3 linked regions of the Danio rerio genome follow. The protein of the gene in region 1 interacts with the protein of each later gene in a pairwise test. Links are inferred from orthologs where the notes say so. Each region holds a gene or a part of one and is shown in the gene's direction. Other genes may lie near its edges.

What was found.
Region 2: the proteins of eif4enif1 (region 1) and eif4e2rs1 interact in binary tests that used the Homo sapiens proteins (3 or more experiments, as listed by UniProt). The two-hybrid records come from large-scale screens. The link is inferred for Danio rerio from reciprocal best matches to the Homo sapiens genes EIF4ENIF1 and EIF4E2.
Region 3: the proteins of eif4enif1 (region 1) and eif4ea interact in binary tests that used the Homo sapiens proteins (3 or more experiments, as listed by UniProt). The link is inferred for Danio rerio from reciprocal best matches to the Homo sapiens genes EIF4ENIF1 and EIF4E.

Annotation. Positions count from the first base shown.
Region 1 is NC_133181.1:43,481,379-43,487,079, forward strand, and holds part of eif4enif1 (eukaryotic translation initiation factor 4E transporter), read left to right. Parts: intron 1-1,163; 5' UTR 1,164-1,219; coding exon 1,220-1,300; intron 1,301-3,073; coding exon 3,074-3,147; intron 3,148-4,798; coding exon 4,799-4,926; intron 4,927-5,021; coding exon 5,022-5,296; intron 5,297-5,379; coding exon 5,380-5,578; intron 5,579-5,660; coding exon 5,661-5,701. UniProt on the Homo sapiens protein: EIF4E-binding protein that regulates translation and stability of mRNAs in processing bodies (P-bodies). Plays a key role in P-bodies to coordinate the storage of translationally inactive mRNAs in the cytoplasm and prevent their degradation.
Region 2 is NC_133198.1:48,177,948-48,184,242, forward strand, and holds the start of eif4e2rs1 (eukaryotic translation initiation factor 4E family member 2 related sequence 1), read left to right. Parts: upstream 1-2,673; 5' UTR 2,674-2,881; coding exon 2,882-2,898; intron 2,899-6,295. UniProt on the Homo sapiens protein: Recognizes and binds the 7-methylguanosine-containing mRNA cap during an early step in the initiation. Acts as a repressor of translation initiation.
Region 3 is NC_133189.1:48,178,261-48,184,593, reverse strand, and holds the start of eif4ea (eukaryotic translation initiation factor 4E-1A), read left to right. Parts: upstream 1-2,711; coding exon 2,712-2,729; intron 2,730-6,011; coding exon 6,012-6,112; intron 6,113-6,209; coding exon 6,210-6,305; intron 6,306-6,333. UniProt on the Homo sapiens protein: Acts in the cytoplasm to initiate and regulate protein synthesis and is required in the nucleus for export of a subset of mRNAs from the nucleus to the cytoplasm which promotes processes such as RNA capping, processing and splicing.

The DNA of each region.
Region 1 (5,701 bases):
CCGCGGGGCCAACTTTGGTCAACTCTGCTCTAGAGCAAACAGTAAGCACAAATAAAATTACCTTACCTTTTTGTAAACAAGTTCAACTCAGATTAGGGAAATAATGTATCTTAAACAAATGTTTAAAAAAATATAAAATTTTATAATTCTAAAAATACAGAACACTCAGCATACTAACACGACAGATATAAGACGGATTGAAAGGTTCTGATTGGGCAGAATGAAAGCATGCTCTCTCGATTGGCTAGTAAGACTTTCATACACAGATGGCAGTCACACATTTTCTCTGGGTGGGGGAAATTAAATGAATGCATATATTCCCTATCACTGCCTCTTGCGATTTAGCTAATTGTAACTTTTCAAATTGCGATTCAATTTTGATTAATTGCACAGGCCTACCTGGAACTGTTGTCCCTGGTGATAAATAAAATGCATGTTAGCAGCTTATGATAATTTGAGAGGTAAAAAAAAAAAAACATGATATCAGAACCAGAATAATGATCAACTTGTATAGATTACAAATACAAATTCTTTAAGCTTTATATAACTTAACCATTGCATAAGCACAATTACCCTTCAAGTATGAGTATAACTCCTTACCTAAGATAATAAATTAAGGATTTTGCATACATGCAGCGTTCAGAAGCAACTTTACAAAGAAAAAAAAAAACAAGTCTTGAATTGTAATTATCGGCCGATTCGGATCTCCAACCAATTGATTGGAGCATCCCTAATAGAAATATCACTAAATACTAAAAATATATTTTAATGTTCTACTGGTGAAAAAGTCCCCTTCATATTGAATGGCCTAAGGATGAATAAATAAACCGTATATTGTTTTTTTGGAGTGAATGGGGTATATGCACATAGACTTTACATTTATGTCAGCCTCTCTTTTTATGGTTTTATAACCAAATGGATGCATTTCAAATATAATCAGGTAAATAGATTAAAGCATTACAACATCGCTGCTGTAAAAAGAACCTCATGAAATTGAAAATAGTCACAAATTTTTCACCGGAAGTACATCATTGGCTGGAAAACACTAGCTGTGCATATAACCCATTATACCTTTAAAAGATGTTGTAGTTGTTTAAGATCTTTCCAAATAATGTTGCAGTACATTGATGCAGCAGTTAAACTAACACTACAGTATCTGACAGGTGCCTAGAGCGTCTGGTATTTGGGCTTCTCTTCAGTTTGACCAGCCACCACAGTCATGGAGAAGGACGAAAATGGTGAAAACTTGGTGGACCCAATTAAGGACTCCGTAATGACCTCTGCCTATAGGTATACCAAGGTGAGAACAGTCCTTTAAAGCAACAATCACATGAGGAGCAAATTTGCCCTCGTGTTTTGATGATCTAGTTCAACTTACTTTGATCAGCATTAACTTTCGTAACATTTTACAGTTTAAAATCTACTACGCAATTAAGGATGATGTAATCATGCATGGCTTTGAATTTGGCTTCAATTAAACCAAATTAGAAACCTATTTTCTTTAATGTCTTGTACATGCAAGTGAAAAAGGTGTGATACTGATAAATGCACTGTGGTGACTTGCTTTTCTGCAATCGTTATGTATTAGCTGTTGACAATACAAGTTTTCAAAAGCAAGATTAACCAGCCTAATTTTTTTGAGCCCTACATGCATCCTACAAAACTGTCAGTTTCATTGGCATTATGACTCTGTTACAAGGTTAAAAAAAAAAAATTTATTACAAGAGTACACTGTCATTACTTCAGACATCCTTGTCAATTCAAATGCAACCAGCACAATAAAGCCTGATTTATACTTCTGCGTCAAACACCGGCGTATGCTACGGCGCTGACGCATAGCCCTTCGCCGTGGCCATCGCCGTCACTGACGTGCACCTCTCAAAAAATGTAACTACACGTCGCAACGACGCGTAGCATAAGCTCTGTGATTGGTCGGCTTGGTAGCGCTGACGAGTCTGGGCGGGACCGAGAGGCGCGCGAATGGCGGGACGCCGCGCGAGCGATTGTTTACAAGTGTGGAGTCCCGTGAAGGAGCTCCGGATGGAAAGTTTTGTTTTGTGTTTACCTCATAGTTAAAGTTGTTGCACGTCCGCCGGTTCCTGCCTCAAAATGAGCGAGTTTGAGCCACTTGTACATCCCGGAAGTGTTCAGGAAATGCAAAAAAGTAGCGAAGAAACTTGACACAGAGGAACATTTACACCTCACTGCCAACTAGCGTTTCGGAAGTGTTAATGCAGACCGGCAGAGACAGCGCGCAGAAGTATAAATGCACAGCCACGCGCGTTGCCTGCGCCGTGGGTTACGCCGGTCACCTGACGCAGAAGTATAAATCAGGCTTAAGGGGACCTTGTGGAACCAGGCTCCCAGTATATAACAGATCGAAAGCCCCTTTGAATCGATTAGTTAGTTTTAATTGAAGTTCAGTTGTTTCAGGTTCCTTTTTTATAATTAACTTTATTTCTTTCTATTGTTTTAATTTATTTTAAATGCTGTTATTAGATTTTTTTTCATGACAGTGCTCAAGAAGCTCTGCTGCTTACAAACTATGGGTGGCCAACATATGTTCTTGTCTGAAAATCTGTAACATACTTCTAATTTAAAAAATCGTTTTGTCACCAACAATTTATAATAGGTGGGTTGGCATAAATTTAGTGAAAAATCATTTAGCAACTGTAACTGAGACCTTCCCTTTGCATCTAAAGTGTGAGCATACCGTAGCACTTTCCTTCTCCTTTCAGTGTACTTGACAATTTATAGAGCATGCAGTGGGGGACCTTATCTTCTGAAGGAAAGCAGAAATGATGTAGGCCTTCTCTCTGTGTGAGAATCCACAGGTTTAGAGAATCAAGGAGTCATCGGGCCTTGCTCCCACAGTTTAGTGGGATTGCTTTCATATTTTCACAAACCATATAGCCTTTAAATGAAGCATACTTAAGTTTGGGGCAAGCATCCATTTTAACAAATTCAGATGAATCTTGGTGCATACCAAGCAAGCTAGTGTGAAAGCACACTAAATGTTGCAGTTTTGAAATGTTTTGTTCAGTTTTTCTTAATCTGCTGTGTGTTTTTGCAGGAAGAGCTTATGGAAATCAAAGAATTGCCAATTTCAAATGAGAGGCCAGAATGTCTGTCAGAGAAATATGACAGGTAAACTTTATTTTATTTTCAATTGTTCTAACACCATGTGTGGAACCATCTTCTGGATACTGTTTGCAAAAAGGACATCAGTTGAAAGTTCGGCTACAATCGTCCTATACTGAAACTTGAATCTTTTCATTGGCTTTTTACACGTTTCACACAGCAAGGGCAAGCAGAGCGTGTACGCGTGTGCAGCTTGTATGGAGCGCAGAATCAGCTTGCAGGCATTTGCCTTTCACACCGACTGCATCTGCAGCGCACAGCTCATCGCCAGCTACTACACAGATCAATCTATCTCTGTCTATTCTATCTAGTTACCCATCTATAAACACACTTATAAAAATCATTTTCTTTTTAATATTTCATCTGCACCAAGGCCTGCGACAACTTTCTATGCTGTTTCCTTAACCTGCAACTTTTTATTTGACAAATTTATAGATATCCTGAAGAACTGTATGGTTGTGCTCTGAGGAGTGTCATTTATGTCTTATTAGGTGCACTCTATCAGAAGACTATCGCCTGTGACATGTCATTTTGTTTTTGATTGTCAGGATGTTGTAGGCTTAGTCATAATATGTATACAATGTAGTTATGATATTCATGCATCATCAAACTAGTCTGCAACTTACTAAGCAAAACTCGTACTAAATTGTTTTAAATTATGTTTTGTAGGTCGGGCCCAAATAAATAAGTGTTGCTGTTTAATCATTTAAGTTGATTGAACTTATTACATTTTTATGAATATATAAAATCATTGGATATTATTAATGCATTTATTGGGTAAAATTGCTACTTTCTACTTTCATTCATTGGTCATAATGCACTGTCACTTTAATTGCAGCGCGGCAAAAATAGACCCACCCGCTTGCACTGCTGCTCTAATCTTTTAAGATGGAGACAAAAAAAAAAAAACATGCTCTGCTCACGTTTGTGATGTGAAACGTGCTTTAGCCATTGACATCTTGGGTCTGATCTTTTTACATGGATTACTCCATGAGCTGGATTTGATTATTGATGACTTAATACAATCCAGGATCGTTGCAGAGACTTTAACTGATATCAAAATTCATTAATAAACTTGAATAGGCCTAGGCTACTATAATAAAGAAAATCTGTTTTAAATGTATAGCTAAATAAATTGCCTAATGCTTTTGACACATGAATGTGAAAAGCCTGCAGCCCACAAAAAAAGCCAAAGTTAAATATTAATCAGATGATGTCATTATGCTGCTGTGCCATCAGCCAGTCGTTGTATTGCTGATCATGATTTCAAGGATTGATACATGCAGTGATCTCAGATCAGTTTATGCAGATATTTTGATCTGAATCGCAAACTTGTTTGATCCAAATTAGCCAAAGATCAGATATCAAGATTAAAAGATTCAGGATCTGCCAAATCATCTTGGATCATTTAAGCAAGGTATGAAGAATGGACCCCTAGTGTTATCCTAATCTTACCAGTGGTTCTGGAGCACATAACAAACTGCTCCTCTCAATTAATTGAAAAGAATTCACTTACTGTAGTCATTTGTCTTTTGACTTTACTAAGTATTGTTAAAACGTGGCTTATATTTTGACATCTTAGAATGGCTTTTAAATTATCTGAGGCTTGTATATTATTTTATAATTTTATGCATTAACTGTACTGTCTCCTTCATAGCGATGGCGTCTGGGATCCTGAAAAATGGCATGCTTCACTATATCCCTCTTCAGAGTCCAGTTGTCCTACAGAAGGTTACAAGAAAGACTATGTAGACGATAGGGTGCCACTTAAACGAAGAATTGCAGGTAATTGAACAAATAGCTTCATCAAATCAAATAAGGTGCCATTAAAACCCGTTTGCTGGAGGATGTTTATCTTAAATGATCTTTCTCTTCCTCAGATCCCAGGGAACGTGTAAAAGATGATGATCTAGAGGTGGTTCTAAGTCCGCAACGTCGTAGTTTTGGTGGTGGCTGTCAAGTTGCACAAACCGCCCTCCCTCGCCGACCCACCAGCCCTCTGGAGAACAAAGAAAATGAGTCTCTCCGTTTGGGGGGAGCACGACGCATCGGCAGTGGCCGCATCATGGCATCACGCGTTTTTGAAAGGGATGCACGGGTTGACAAAGAGAGGGAGCGAGACCGAGAGCGTGACTTCAAGGATAAGCGATTTAGGGTATTGTGCTAGAAATTGATGCAGAGGTTCTTATCTATTTCCTGTAGTGTTTGCACAGTGACAATGTTGTTTGCCTTCTACAGAGAGATTTTGGAGACAAAAGAGTGTTCAGTGAGAGGAGAAGAAATGACTCGTATGCAGAAGAGGAGCCAGAGTGGTTCTCTGGTGGACCCACTAGTCAGTCTGAGACCATTGAGCTCATTGGCTTTGATGACAAAATCTTGGAGGATGACAAACGGAGGACCAAACGTTCCAAGAAGAGGCCAGAGTCCGTTAAAGAAGGCATGTGCTGTAGGAAACGGGTCTCAAACAAAAGTGCGATCATCGGTGGGCTTGTATTTATTCAATCTCTTTTTTTCTATAGTTGAATGCAATGGTGGACTTTCAGACGGCCCTGAAGTAGTT
Region 2 (6,295 bases), on another chromosome or scaffold:
TCATGCACTATGTACTTATGCACTTACACACTCAACTGGATAGTATATGTATGTAATGGCGTCCCAAATGGCACACTAATGTTTTTTTTACTAAGCGGAAATTCAAACCGTTTCCCTGATGACATTTGACGGTTGCCAAATCAGTGAAATAAACAACCGAATTATCAAATAATACCTGCCATGAGTATTGCCGCATTCACCATCGGGAGGCGCTATAATCACTCTTGTAGGAGAATTTTGCTTTCACCGTCCAAAATAAATTAAGTTATTTAACATGTGCGTCCGATAGCTCCGCCCCTTCCGCTACGTAAGCAACCTGCGGTCGTTGAGTGTGTGAAGTGTCCATTATTACACACTTCATTTTAGCGGCTGAATGAGTGCATCATCCGGGTAATTAAAGTGCACTTATTATTGTTAGAATTTTCAGTGTGAACACACTACTTACACTATTTATACTACAAAATGGCGTAGAATAGTGCATAAGTATGCGATTTGGGACGCAACTTTGTTTTTGAATTTGTTGCTACGCTGGCACACAGGCATCTGTAGCTCCGCCCTCTTCTGAAAAGAGCACAATCTCATTTGAATTTAAAGCGACAGTCACCAAAACGCCACACTATTAAGATTAAAGACTAAAAGGGTCAGTTTCAGAGAGTTATAAACATTATCTGTGGAGTATTTTCAGTTGAAACTTCACACACTCACTCATTAGAGACTTATTTTACATCTTGTTGAATCAGGCATAGCAGCTCCCCTTTAAATAGATGATTTGTTAAGCCGTACATTCATAATAATAATCATTCAGCAAGTGTAAGTTATGAGAGAGATGACGGCTGGTAAATGAGTGACGGTTGTGTTGCGGTGTCACATGACCTGTGATGTCAGCAGGGGGCATGGACAAAGTGGGAGGGTAACCTACAATGTAAGATCATCTGGGAAAACATCATGCAGGCAGATTAATCGAAGACTGCAGTATTCCCTAGTAGCAAAGAATTCTGGCCCAGATTTGGCATAAAGCTGGCACAGCAGGCTTTCATCCGGCACTTGCATACAGCATGTGGGCCAAACATGGCCCGGGTTTGGCAGAGGTGGCACCGTCTTTAAGGCGGCACACAAGATTTGGGCCAGATGAAAAACGTAGTATTTGGCCCAGATTTAAAAATGTGATAAGTGGGCCATGTGAGTTTGGCCAGTCTTGACCCACATTTAAAATACACTAAAATCATTTTTGAGTAAAGAAAAAAAATTCTACCAATCAGGTCACTGAGAAAAAGCGTGCCCATAGTGTGCCTAAAGCGCATCACTCCATGGGTTTATCAATTTCATCGTAATCGTGACACACCAACCTATCTGGCCCAGTTCAGGCCCAGTTATGAGTTATTAACTTGGCTGAGACTTGGCCCAGATATGGTCCGTGTTTGGCCCTTGTCTGGAAGCCAGATTTGGTCCAGTCATGTACCGTAATTCACTGCGGCATGTGGGCCAAGCAAAACCTGATTGTGTGGGCCAGAGCTGGGCCAGAGAAATTTTGCTATGTGGGTTGGGTCAATTGTTTATATTACTATAGTTGTTGTGTTACCATAATCACCACAACAGATTAATTACTTTACTATAGTAAGTGTTTAACTTATACTGTTTCGTCTTTAGTTAAGCAGTTTGTAGATATTGTTTTAATTATATAAAGTTATTTATGTCTACATCTAGTTGCCACTATATTCTCATTTGACCTATTTTGACATGTCATGATAAACTGTGTAAATAAATCATTGAAGGTTTTAAGAAAATGCACAATATTTAAGTGAAGTCAACTTTTACTATTGACCGACTTTTGTAAAAAAAAAAATTTTACAAGTAGCCTGACTTTTGTTTAAAATCTTAACCTTATTCTTGAGAGATAGAAATAACTAATATAAGGTCTGAAGCACCAAAAGTAGCCTATTAAAGTTAAGTTTAACACTAACTAGGCTGTGTAAATCTCCAAAATCAAACTAAAAGTTTTCAGGGGTAGCTTAAATAATGTGTCAGTGCTCTTTGTGTAAGGGATTCATCAGAATAAACATCAAAATCAGTCCAAGGCACTTAAAAATGTGGAAAAAATAGTAACAGGCCTTTATTGACATGGCTGTGACTTAAAACTGTGATCAGGTTACCCTGATGAAGTAAAGGGTTATCAAAACGTGTAGGTGCAGTTTTAGGAAATAGTCATGTGAGTAAAGGCTTTATTATTTTCCCCACATTTTTCGAGTGCCTTTAGACTGACTCTTGCTGTGTATACTAATAGGTTGTTGTTAGATGAACAAGCTAATCCAACTAAAATAGTGCTTAAAATGCCTCTTATTGAAGTATTTAAATAGAAAATGAGGTGAATGACTGCAACAAAAGTCCACATTTTTTAGAAAAAAAAAAGAACCACCCTTTCACAAGACTGGCTACGGCCTGCTATAAGGCTTTTTTTGTCTGAGCACTGAGTTACTGTAAACAAGACTTAGCATTTTGTATATTTTAGCTCAAACCAGCAAATCGGACGGATTTAATTGATTTGTTTTTAAAGATTTGTATGCTTCGACCACGCTGTTATCATAATGTTTTGTTTGCCGTTGATTATTTCAACGTTTTGTTGTGTTTAATCAACATGTTTGTGTACTCTTTAAGCGAGTCTTCCGCGGTTTGTGCTTTTTGTCGTTTCTCGATTGCCGTCCGCACATGCGCAGTGACCGTGGTTGGCTTCAGTGTAGCATGTAGTATAGTTTATTCTCTGCCCGTTGAATTAAACACACTAACATCTAATAGTTTAACATAACAGTAATTATTCCAAAAGTTATAAAGCGTATTTATATATCGAGGTTTACGTTGAAAGAAGAAGCAGGAACGACAACGCGGAATGAATCAGTTTGAACAGTAAGTTAGCGGCTAACGGCTAATATTCTCCATTAAACATTTAACTTCAGCTATTACAAACATAAAGCAGATACATTCAACAAGACTCACGGGTTTATTAACATTATATAAAGATTAACGTGTGGTGTGTATGTCTTTAGTTTAATAACGATACATTTATTTAATGTGTTACAGTAATATTAATGTGTGGAATTGTTTATATGTGTATGTGGAACACACGTTTATATACAGTATTTGCTTTGATTTAGTGCACTGTTTAACAGTAGATTTAGATTCATCTTCATTTTAAACACAAGTAAAATAAACAAATATGTACCTTTATTTATCTATTATGTACATTATTTTATTTATTATGTGTATGTTTATATACACAACACACAATTGAGGTAAAGTTGGTTTTATTTCTGACATTCATTCAGTGTCAATTTGTTACATGCACCCTATATTTCCATATATATTTTTAACATAATTCCTGTTTACCATGGTAATTTGAATATTCTACCTAAAATTATGAATTTAAAACAACATTAGCACTATTTATTGACTGTAAACAATGCTGTACTTCGATAGCCATTGGCTGCTAATATGATATTACCATTTATAATTTGCAGAAATACTTTTCCAAAATTATATATATATATATATATATATATATATATATATATATATATATATATATATATATATATGAGCAATTCTGTGCAAATGTCAACCTTGCCATGAAAAAAAATTAAGTTTTTACCAAAATACGGAAACCATTTCTGGGTTTTTTGTGTAGGCAAGTATTTTACTGTACTTTAAAAATACTCAAAAAGCATCTGTTAATGTTTTCAAACTATTACTATTTGATTTACCAAAGTCACACAAATGGTAATTTCACATGCGTCACATCCATAACAGAGAGATGTCACATGCATAACAACACTTTTTCCTCAGAAATGTGAAAATATTAAATAAAATAAAACCAATCATTTTTGTTTTATAGAGAGCCGACTCAAATCCTTTTGATTAGCATTATTTCTTTTGGGTTGTGCAGTTTAATTCACATAATTTCTACAAAGTGTGTTGTATACTGTAAACTCGCAGACTTTTTTTGTCACACCCATAACGCATGCTTATTTTCCACATTTAAAGTACAAAACATGTTTACAGATTGATATTTTTCTGCTCCCATAACTCTGTGGCTAGTTGCTCTAGAAAATATAATCAAATTTTTCAATATAATGTTAACATATACTTCCTCTGTCAATTTATGTGTTGAGTTTTTACTGCAAATGTCACATCCATAATGCTGGAATTGCTCATATATATATATATATATATATATATATATATATATATATATATATATATATATATATATATTAGGGATGTGCGGAGCAGCCGGTATTTGTATTTGTATTTGTATTTGTTGAGGGGGGAAAAGTATTTGTATTTGTATTTGTATTCGAGTGAAATTCAAAATGGCGCAAAAATATATATTTTTTCTATTACACTTCTAATTTACGTTATAGTGAAAGTATTGTTTAATTATACCCATTATATAAATTATAGATATGCAATATTGGCTGTTGTTTTTGAACATGTGATAAGAAATGTCATTGAAAAGAAAATAACATAGAAGCCATTATCTCATCCATGGTTAAACCAACAACTAATAAAATACCATTGTGAATATTATGAACCCCACCACCACCGTTCTTGTTGAAGGACACTGAATAGACAGAATAAAAACAAATAATACTTCAAAAAACTGTTCTTCTTCTGAAAGAACTTCTTTCCAATGGACAGAATTCCAAAAACTAATATTAACTAAATAAATCTAAATAAAACCCTGCCTGGGAGATCTGGCAGAACAAAAGTATTCTATATAATACTAAAAGATACAGCCCTGCTATTGTCATCTGCCTGCCACAAAAAGACACAAAGTTTGTTTGTTTGTTTTTTTATGTTTGAAACTGACTTGCTGGGGCAGAATGTGGCTGTGTTGATGCTTTTAGGATGCTTTTAGTGCATGTGATAATACATTACATAGAAGGTTGCGCGGTGCTCTGTTTAGTGAGAAGCGCTCTCTATGGCAAGCCTTTTTAGCATTTAAATCTTTGTTCTGGCTCCATAAATATATTAGAGATATCTCTAATTATATTTTGACTAGTCATAATTATAATTCCACTACTCAGAATGACAATTAGACATATCTGCAATTACAATTGTACTAATACGTAATCAGATGAATTTTGACTAGTAACAACTGTAATTGATATCTCTGAGTTTTTACTAGTCATAATACATTTAGAGATATCTTTAATTCATCATATTTAGAGATATTTACAAATATATTTGAAGATATCTCTAATTAATTTACTAAAAGTCTAATTACAGTTGTAGATATCTTGAATTGGATTTTTGACTAGTCAAAATTCATTTGGAGATATCTCTAATTACAATTGTGACTAGTCAACTTATTTAGAGATATCTGCAAATATTTTTCAATGGAAGTCAATGGAGGAATATGACTAGTCTATCATAATATATTTGCAGATATTTCCAATCTGACTAGTCGAATTATAATTATGACAAGTCAAAATATAATTAGAGATATCTCTAAATATATTTATGGATAGTCTGAACAAGGTTTAAATGCTAAAACGGCTTGCCATACGCTCACATCCAGTCGCACAGTGGAGAGTTCTCTAGTTATATCCTTTCAGTCGTTTGTTATGCAGTGACATGCAGTCAAATATTTCGCCAAACAGTCCTTAGGGATGCGGTGACACACAGTCAGATATATCACCGAACAGATCCGCCACTTTTGGCGCTCATAAACAATCATAAAGCTCTCGTGCTGCAGGAATGAGGAGGTCTGCTGAAGGCGCGCAGCTGACGTGCAGTGAGGAGTTTGCGTCTTTAATAAACTACGGCAGTTTGCGATCACTGAACAGTAAAAATGATTAATAAATCCATATGAAACAACCCCTTAAAAGTCACGTCTCGCTTTCAGTTTCGGGCTTTGGCGCGTTTTGCCTCTCTCTCTCTCTCTCTTTCTCTCTCTCTCTCACTCACTCACTCACTCACTCACGCGGGCATGCACTGTGGTCTCATGAGGAAACGCTGCTTTTTGATAGTGTTTTTCTTGCTCCCGAATACAAATAATTTTTCAAGTATTTGTTCGAATCAAGTATTCGTAAAAACACGCAATTCGTGCCTTTCCGAATACCGTATTCGGGTTCGGCTCCACCCTTAATATATATATATATATATATATATATATATATATATATATATATATATATATATATATATATATATAGAGAGAGAGAGAGAGAGAGAGAGAGAGAGAGAGAGAGAGAGAGAGAGAGAGAGAGAGAGAGAGAGAGAGAGAGAGAGAGAGAGAGAG
Region 3 (6,333 bases), on another chromosome or scaffold:
ACCGCTGACGGTAGGTTTCAGGTGAGATGTTGAACTTTGCTAACAACGCCTCCCTCAGGTCCTCATATACCTCAGCTTGGTCCTCGTCCATGGCTAAGTACGCCTCAGGTGCCTGCCCAGTCAACAGTGGCACCAAGCGGAAACTCCACTCCTCCTTTGGCCACCTCCAGGTTTTGGCTAGTCGTTCGAACCGACGCAGGAAGTTCTCTATGTCCTCCCCTTGCTGGAAGACTGGTAACTTCGGCTCTGTTCGCATTATTGGCTGGCTGCCATACCTCAGGTCAGTAGGCGAGTCTCGATCTCTCTGGAAAGATGGGGGTCGTTGTGCTGTTGGCGTTGGCAACCCCAATCGTGGACTCTCTGTTTCACTCGACCCCTCAGCTGGCCGGACCGCTTGCAGAATTGACTCTTTAAAGCTCTGTAGCTCCGTTAGGTAACGCTGCTCCCGCTCTGCTTGTGAGTCAAGAAAGTCCCTCATTAATGCATACATCCCACCTCCAGTAGATGAAGTCTTTGCTTCAGGAGAAGAAACAGGTTTTGTGACTTGCGGTGATGTGGACTTGGGTCGAACGAGAGGAAGTTCCTCCTCCAACTCCGTCTCCGTAGACTCAGCTGCAACCCATGCCCCATCCTCCTTGCTAAGGGCTCCAGTCTGTGAACGAAGCCCCGCTTTAGGCTTCCTGCCTCTCGTAGACGTCTTGCGAGTTGCCATCTCACTTCTGACACCAAATGTGAGGTTTACGAGCCAGGAAGGCTCGTAGTGGGTTCTCAAAGGATATAAAAAAATGAGAAAACCTCTAAATGATGGCACAACTCGCTGATATAACGTGTAAAGTGATGGTTTATTTACAGTGTACGAGAGTGAAACCCAAAACCCAGCAAAGTAGCAAAACAAACAAAAATAAAAGAACAAATAAACAACAAACAAAATGATATATGTACAATCACAATAAAAATATACAAGTCACAGATCGCTTACGGCACCACAGTAGCTCGCTCGCTCGCCAGGTGAACTGACCCCGAATTGTTGTTTGAGGCTGCCTTTTAAAGGTGAAGCCCCACCCCCTTAACACAGACCAACATACCCTAATTGAAAGGTAAGTATAAACATCAGTACATGTTCTCCAGTTTAGTATTTAAAAACCATTAAACCCCAAACAGTCACAATTAATCAATGTTAACTAAAATAGATCAAGATATAAAGATATAAACATGAACATTTAAACACATAAAGAAAAGTATTAACCCATTCTCCCCCCTTCTTTAGAAAAGATTCAAAAAAAGATTTTGGTATGGAAAACAAAGCTAAATAAATGTCAAATTGAGATTTTTAAATTTATTTTTCCTCAAAAATTAAGCTTCACATTTTTTTTTTTTTTCTGGCATTAATTCAGGTCAATTTGATGTTCTACAATTGTTACAAATTTATTTTGTGATTTTAGTTAATTTTTTTCACAATAAACCTTTGCAGTGTAAATGGCTTGATATAATTATTTTGAAGGTTTGAACAATAAGATCGTATTTATTGTCTGTTTTATTATGTAAAATGTTTATTAGAAAAGTCAGTTCAACTAGTTTGTCAATGATACTTATAACCACGTTTGATTATTTGGTTGTAATGAATTGATTTTAGTAAGATTGTCAATGTTTGTGAAAGTTTTGATTCTTAACATCAAATTGTCCAAGTTGCCTAAACAAATGAAAACCAAAATGTATGATTTGTAGTGATTCTTAAAACTAAAAGTAATATGAATCTGCCACAAAATAAATTAATGACTAAAAGTATATATTTGCCAAATAAAATAGGCTATAGTTAATATTGAACATTCAAAGATAATACAGTAAAATAATGCCAATGTTGACAATATGACTCTTAAAAACATTAAACCAAGTAAATTATTTCATTTAATGTGAGACAAATTGTCGCCTCACAACAAAAATGTCGCTGTTTCTGTTTCTGTGTAAAGAAGCATGTTCTCCCTGCGTTCGCGTGGGTTCCCTTCGGGTGCTCCGGTTTCACCCACAGTCCAAAGACATGCAGTACAGGTGAATTGTGTAGGCTAAATTGTCCATCGTGTATGAGTGTGATTTGGAAGTTTCCCAGAGATGGGTTGCAGCTGAAAGGACATCCGCTGCATAAAACATACTGGATAAGTTGGCAGTTTATTCCGCTGTGGCGACCCCAGATTAATCTAGTGACTAAGTCGAAAAGGAAATTAATGAATGAATGAGACAAATAATAAAAGTTTTTGTAATTACAAAATCTAAATAAAGCTCATATTACGTGTTTAAATGATTTTTTTCCATTTATAACATTCTTCTAAATTTTTGGGCAATGCTTCAGGTCAATTCAATGTTCTACAATTCGTTACAAATGTATTTTTGTGTCCGAAGCAAGATGATAATTTAATAAAAGTAGTTTTAAAAAGAATAATAATAAAAAAAAGAGTAGTTTGTAAAAGAGTTTTGGTATCATTGATTAAATATCTGTGAAGCACCTCGAAATAATATTTTTTTAAATAAAGTTTTTTAATTATTATTATTATTATCATTATTATTAAATTCCCATAGACATTTTTGGCAGTCATAAACAGACTGCCGTCCTCTGGGTGTCGCTGTCCGGGCGCGCGCTGCTCGCACACGAGTTCGCCTGAGTTTAGCCAATCAAATGTTGTTTTCACACACGGAAAGACCCTTCACATTTGTAGAAGATGGCGACTGCTGAACCGGTGAGTTAGTGTAACTGCTCTCACAAACACTACTGCACATACTTTAACGGCGGGGTTTAATCTGTAATACGAGTTTTATGTCGACCAGGGCTTGTGTATAAGCTAATTTGAATAAATATTCAAGTAGAGACAGATTTATATTCCATCATACAGTCAAATGAGCTGATGCCCGACTGTCGCACACATGCGTTTGAAGGAGACTGTTCAAAAGTGTGAAATAGTTGATGTTTTCTCTGAAATGGAGGGCTGTGGGCTGCTTGTTTTTTCAGAGAGTTGAACGTGGTGTTGAAGCATCTCTGTTATTTAGACTCGTAGTTTGCTGATGTGTCAATGAAAAGTATGTGGTTTGTTTTTAGCCTCTGTATGGACAGTAAATGAAACTTAATATAAGTAACGTTACATATTGCGATATTGTTAAAGGTTAACTTTGTATACTTTTAAAGATTTTTGTAATATAACCTTTAGTTTGTGAGTTAATATTATGTGTTTAGAAAGATTCATGTTTTAGTGTAATAACAATGAGAAGGTTGAAACTTAATGTTCATTCTTCCTCTGGAGAAACTCTGTTTCAAATATGGGCAGTTTTCTTTCATTAGGGTATATAAGCAGCTTTTGAGAACTTTTTTAACTAAATAACTTTTTGAACAGAACTTATAAGGTTAAATGATTCATCTAGCACCCATAAAGAAATTTACTTGTTATTGTTTTAAGTATTTATACCAATTTTTTTATTCACCATCAGGATTTTGTTGAAATGTTGTTTTGAAGTTATTCAGTTTCTGGAACTAAAATGGTGTCATAAGTCTGTTTATTTAATTAGACTATTTGATATATTTTTGTAATTAAGGTAAAACTGTTTTTATATTTACATATTTGGACTTTCTTTATATAATTTCAGAAACGTATTATTTGCAAATTCTAAATAGGGAAATCAGCAGTTAAACTATCAAAGCACAACATTGTTCACAGTGAATTAAATAGTGTTAATGTTGTTTAGAAGTCATACGTGCATGCTAATTCCGATTGAATATTCAATGTAATATGGTAACCAATATAGACACTGCTAAATGAATAAATGTGTGAATTTAAACCAACTTAACCTCTATCAGTTTTCTTTCATTAGGGTATATAAGCAGCTTTTGAGAACTTTTTAACTAAATAACCTTTTGAACAAAACATATTAGGTTAAATTATTCATCTAGTAGCACCCATAAAGAAATTTACTTGTTATTTTTTTAAGTATTTATACCCATTTTATTTATTCACCCTCAAGATTTTGTTGAAATGCTGTTTTGAGGTTATTCAGAGTTTCTGAAACTAAAATGGTGCCATAAGTCTGTTTATTTAATTAGATTATTTTATATATTTTTGTAATTGAGGTAAAAAAGTTTTTTATATTAGCATATTTGGATTTTCTTAATATAATTTCAGAAAAGTATTATTTGCCAATTCTAAATGGGGACTTTATATTAGTAGTCAAGGACTGTATTAAATGAACGAATGTGCGGATATAAATCCAACTTTACCTCAGTATTTTGTAGCGTATACAGTGTGATCTAGGCAGGTGACGATCACCGTTTTCAAGGTATACCACGGTTTGGAAAAGTCAAGGTTTTAAAACTGTCAAAATTTTCTGTAATACCGCACCGTGTAAGATTTTTTATTTACTTTTTGTTTGTTTTTGAAGACAACAGTTTCTCAAGCTGGAAAGATATCCAAAGATTCATGTCTATGATTCATTTTCATTATATATCTTGACATGTTTACTGCTCCAGATTTGTAAAAAATCTTTCAAAAAATAAAATATATTGTTTTCAAAAAGGAAAAAAAAATTAAAGCAGTAATCGAAATACCGTGATACCTGGAAACCATGATATTTTTATCCAAGGTTATTACACCGTCAGAATCATATACCGGCCAATGCCTTGTCTGGTAATGTAGTGTGTATTAGGCAGAGCTAATGGAAAAGTATTAGTAAGTAATAGTGCTCACTTTAAGCCTGATAATACATTCCAGGGAGTTTGACCTGGCTTAGTTTTTAGTACTAGGACAAAACTTTGCTAGTGCTTCAATATGAAAATGCTAGTTATTTATGTTTAATGTTATTTACATTAGTGCCAAAAAGCTTTTGAAAAAATTTAAGTCCTTTTTTTATTTCTTCGACTCATTTAGGACTAGATTTTGTTAATAAATTCTAATATTTATGCATATACCATTATAACATGTTTCATCTGAAAGAGAATGCTTTTGAAAGTGGAAAGCCAGAGTAATTTTCTTATTATTTTCATTATTTGTATTTTTTGTTCATTTTTTTTTTTTTTTTTGTTAGGGCCATTGCTCACTCGTGGGGGCTTTTGTCACCCGTTTAGAAAGTCATTAACAATACAAAAAAAAAAAAAAAAAAAATCTGATTGCTCTCTTAATAGCGTTTTCTCATTTTAAAACAAAAAACTGCATAGACCAGTGGTTCTCAAACTGTGGTACGCGGGCTGCCTTCTAGTGGTACGCAGAGTAATCCGATATGCCATATCTACATGCAACAGATATTTAAATATTTATAAAAAATGACTCGTATATGAATATGATGACATATAGCCTATATTTATGAGGTCCAAGCAGCATTTCCAGGCTTTTATACTACAGGTGAACACTTTACATTTAAGTACAGGTGTTTTTTCTTTACTTTTTAAGAACAGTAGCCTACCATTTTTAATTAACTTTTAAAATTACATTTTAATTTAAACATTGAAATTTTATTTATTTGTTTTTTTACACATAAGCACAGCAGTGTTAATGTTCAAACTTTTTTTTTTTAAACTGCAGAACTGTAGCTGCTTAATTAGGCCTACTACGCTACTGTATTTCAATACTGGTTAAATGGTGGTACTTGGAGGGACAATTTTTTCTGAGGTGGTACTTGATGAAAAAAGTTTGAGAACCACTGGCATAGACTATATAAGTAATAAATAAAAACATGTTAATTAATTAGCTAACTGAGTCTTCTAATTTATTTCCATTCACATTTCATTATAGTATTTATTTCCACTCATGGCAGGCATGAAAATAGTAAAAAATATTGGTAAAAATATTGAATGTGAAACAGTTTGTCAGTAATTCAACAAATGAAAAAAAATGTTATGGGGACTTAAAATATTGCTTTTTACAATAGTTTTTAAAATGGCAAAATATGGATTATTTTCCCATAAAAGTCTCTCATTCAGTATGCAGAGCTTTAGATGCATATTTTGTTAATATAACAGTTGTTGTTTTCTATTTCTGTAGGAAACTTCAACAAATCCATCAAATTCAGAAGAAAAAAATGAGGAAAATGAGCAACAGATCGTGAGTCTTGAAGATTACATTAAACATCCACTGCAGAACAGGTAATGCCACCCAGGCCACATGTTTTATGTATTTTGATGTGATACGATGGCAAAATATCTAGAGGAGTTATCGTGCCCCCCCCTTTTTTTTCCTCAGATGGGCTCTTTGGTTCTTTAAAAATGACAAAAGCAAAACATGGCAAGCTAATCTCCGTCTCATCTCAAAGTTTGACACCGTGGAGGACTTCTGGGCGTAAGTATTAACTTGACACAATTGAAGC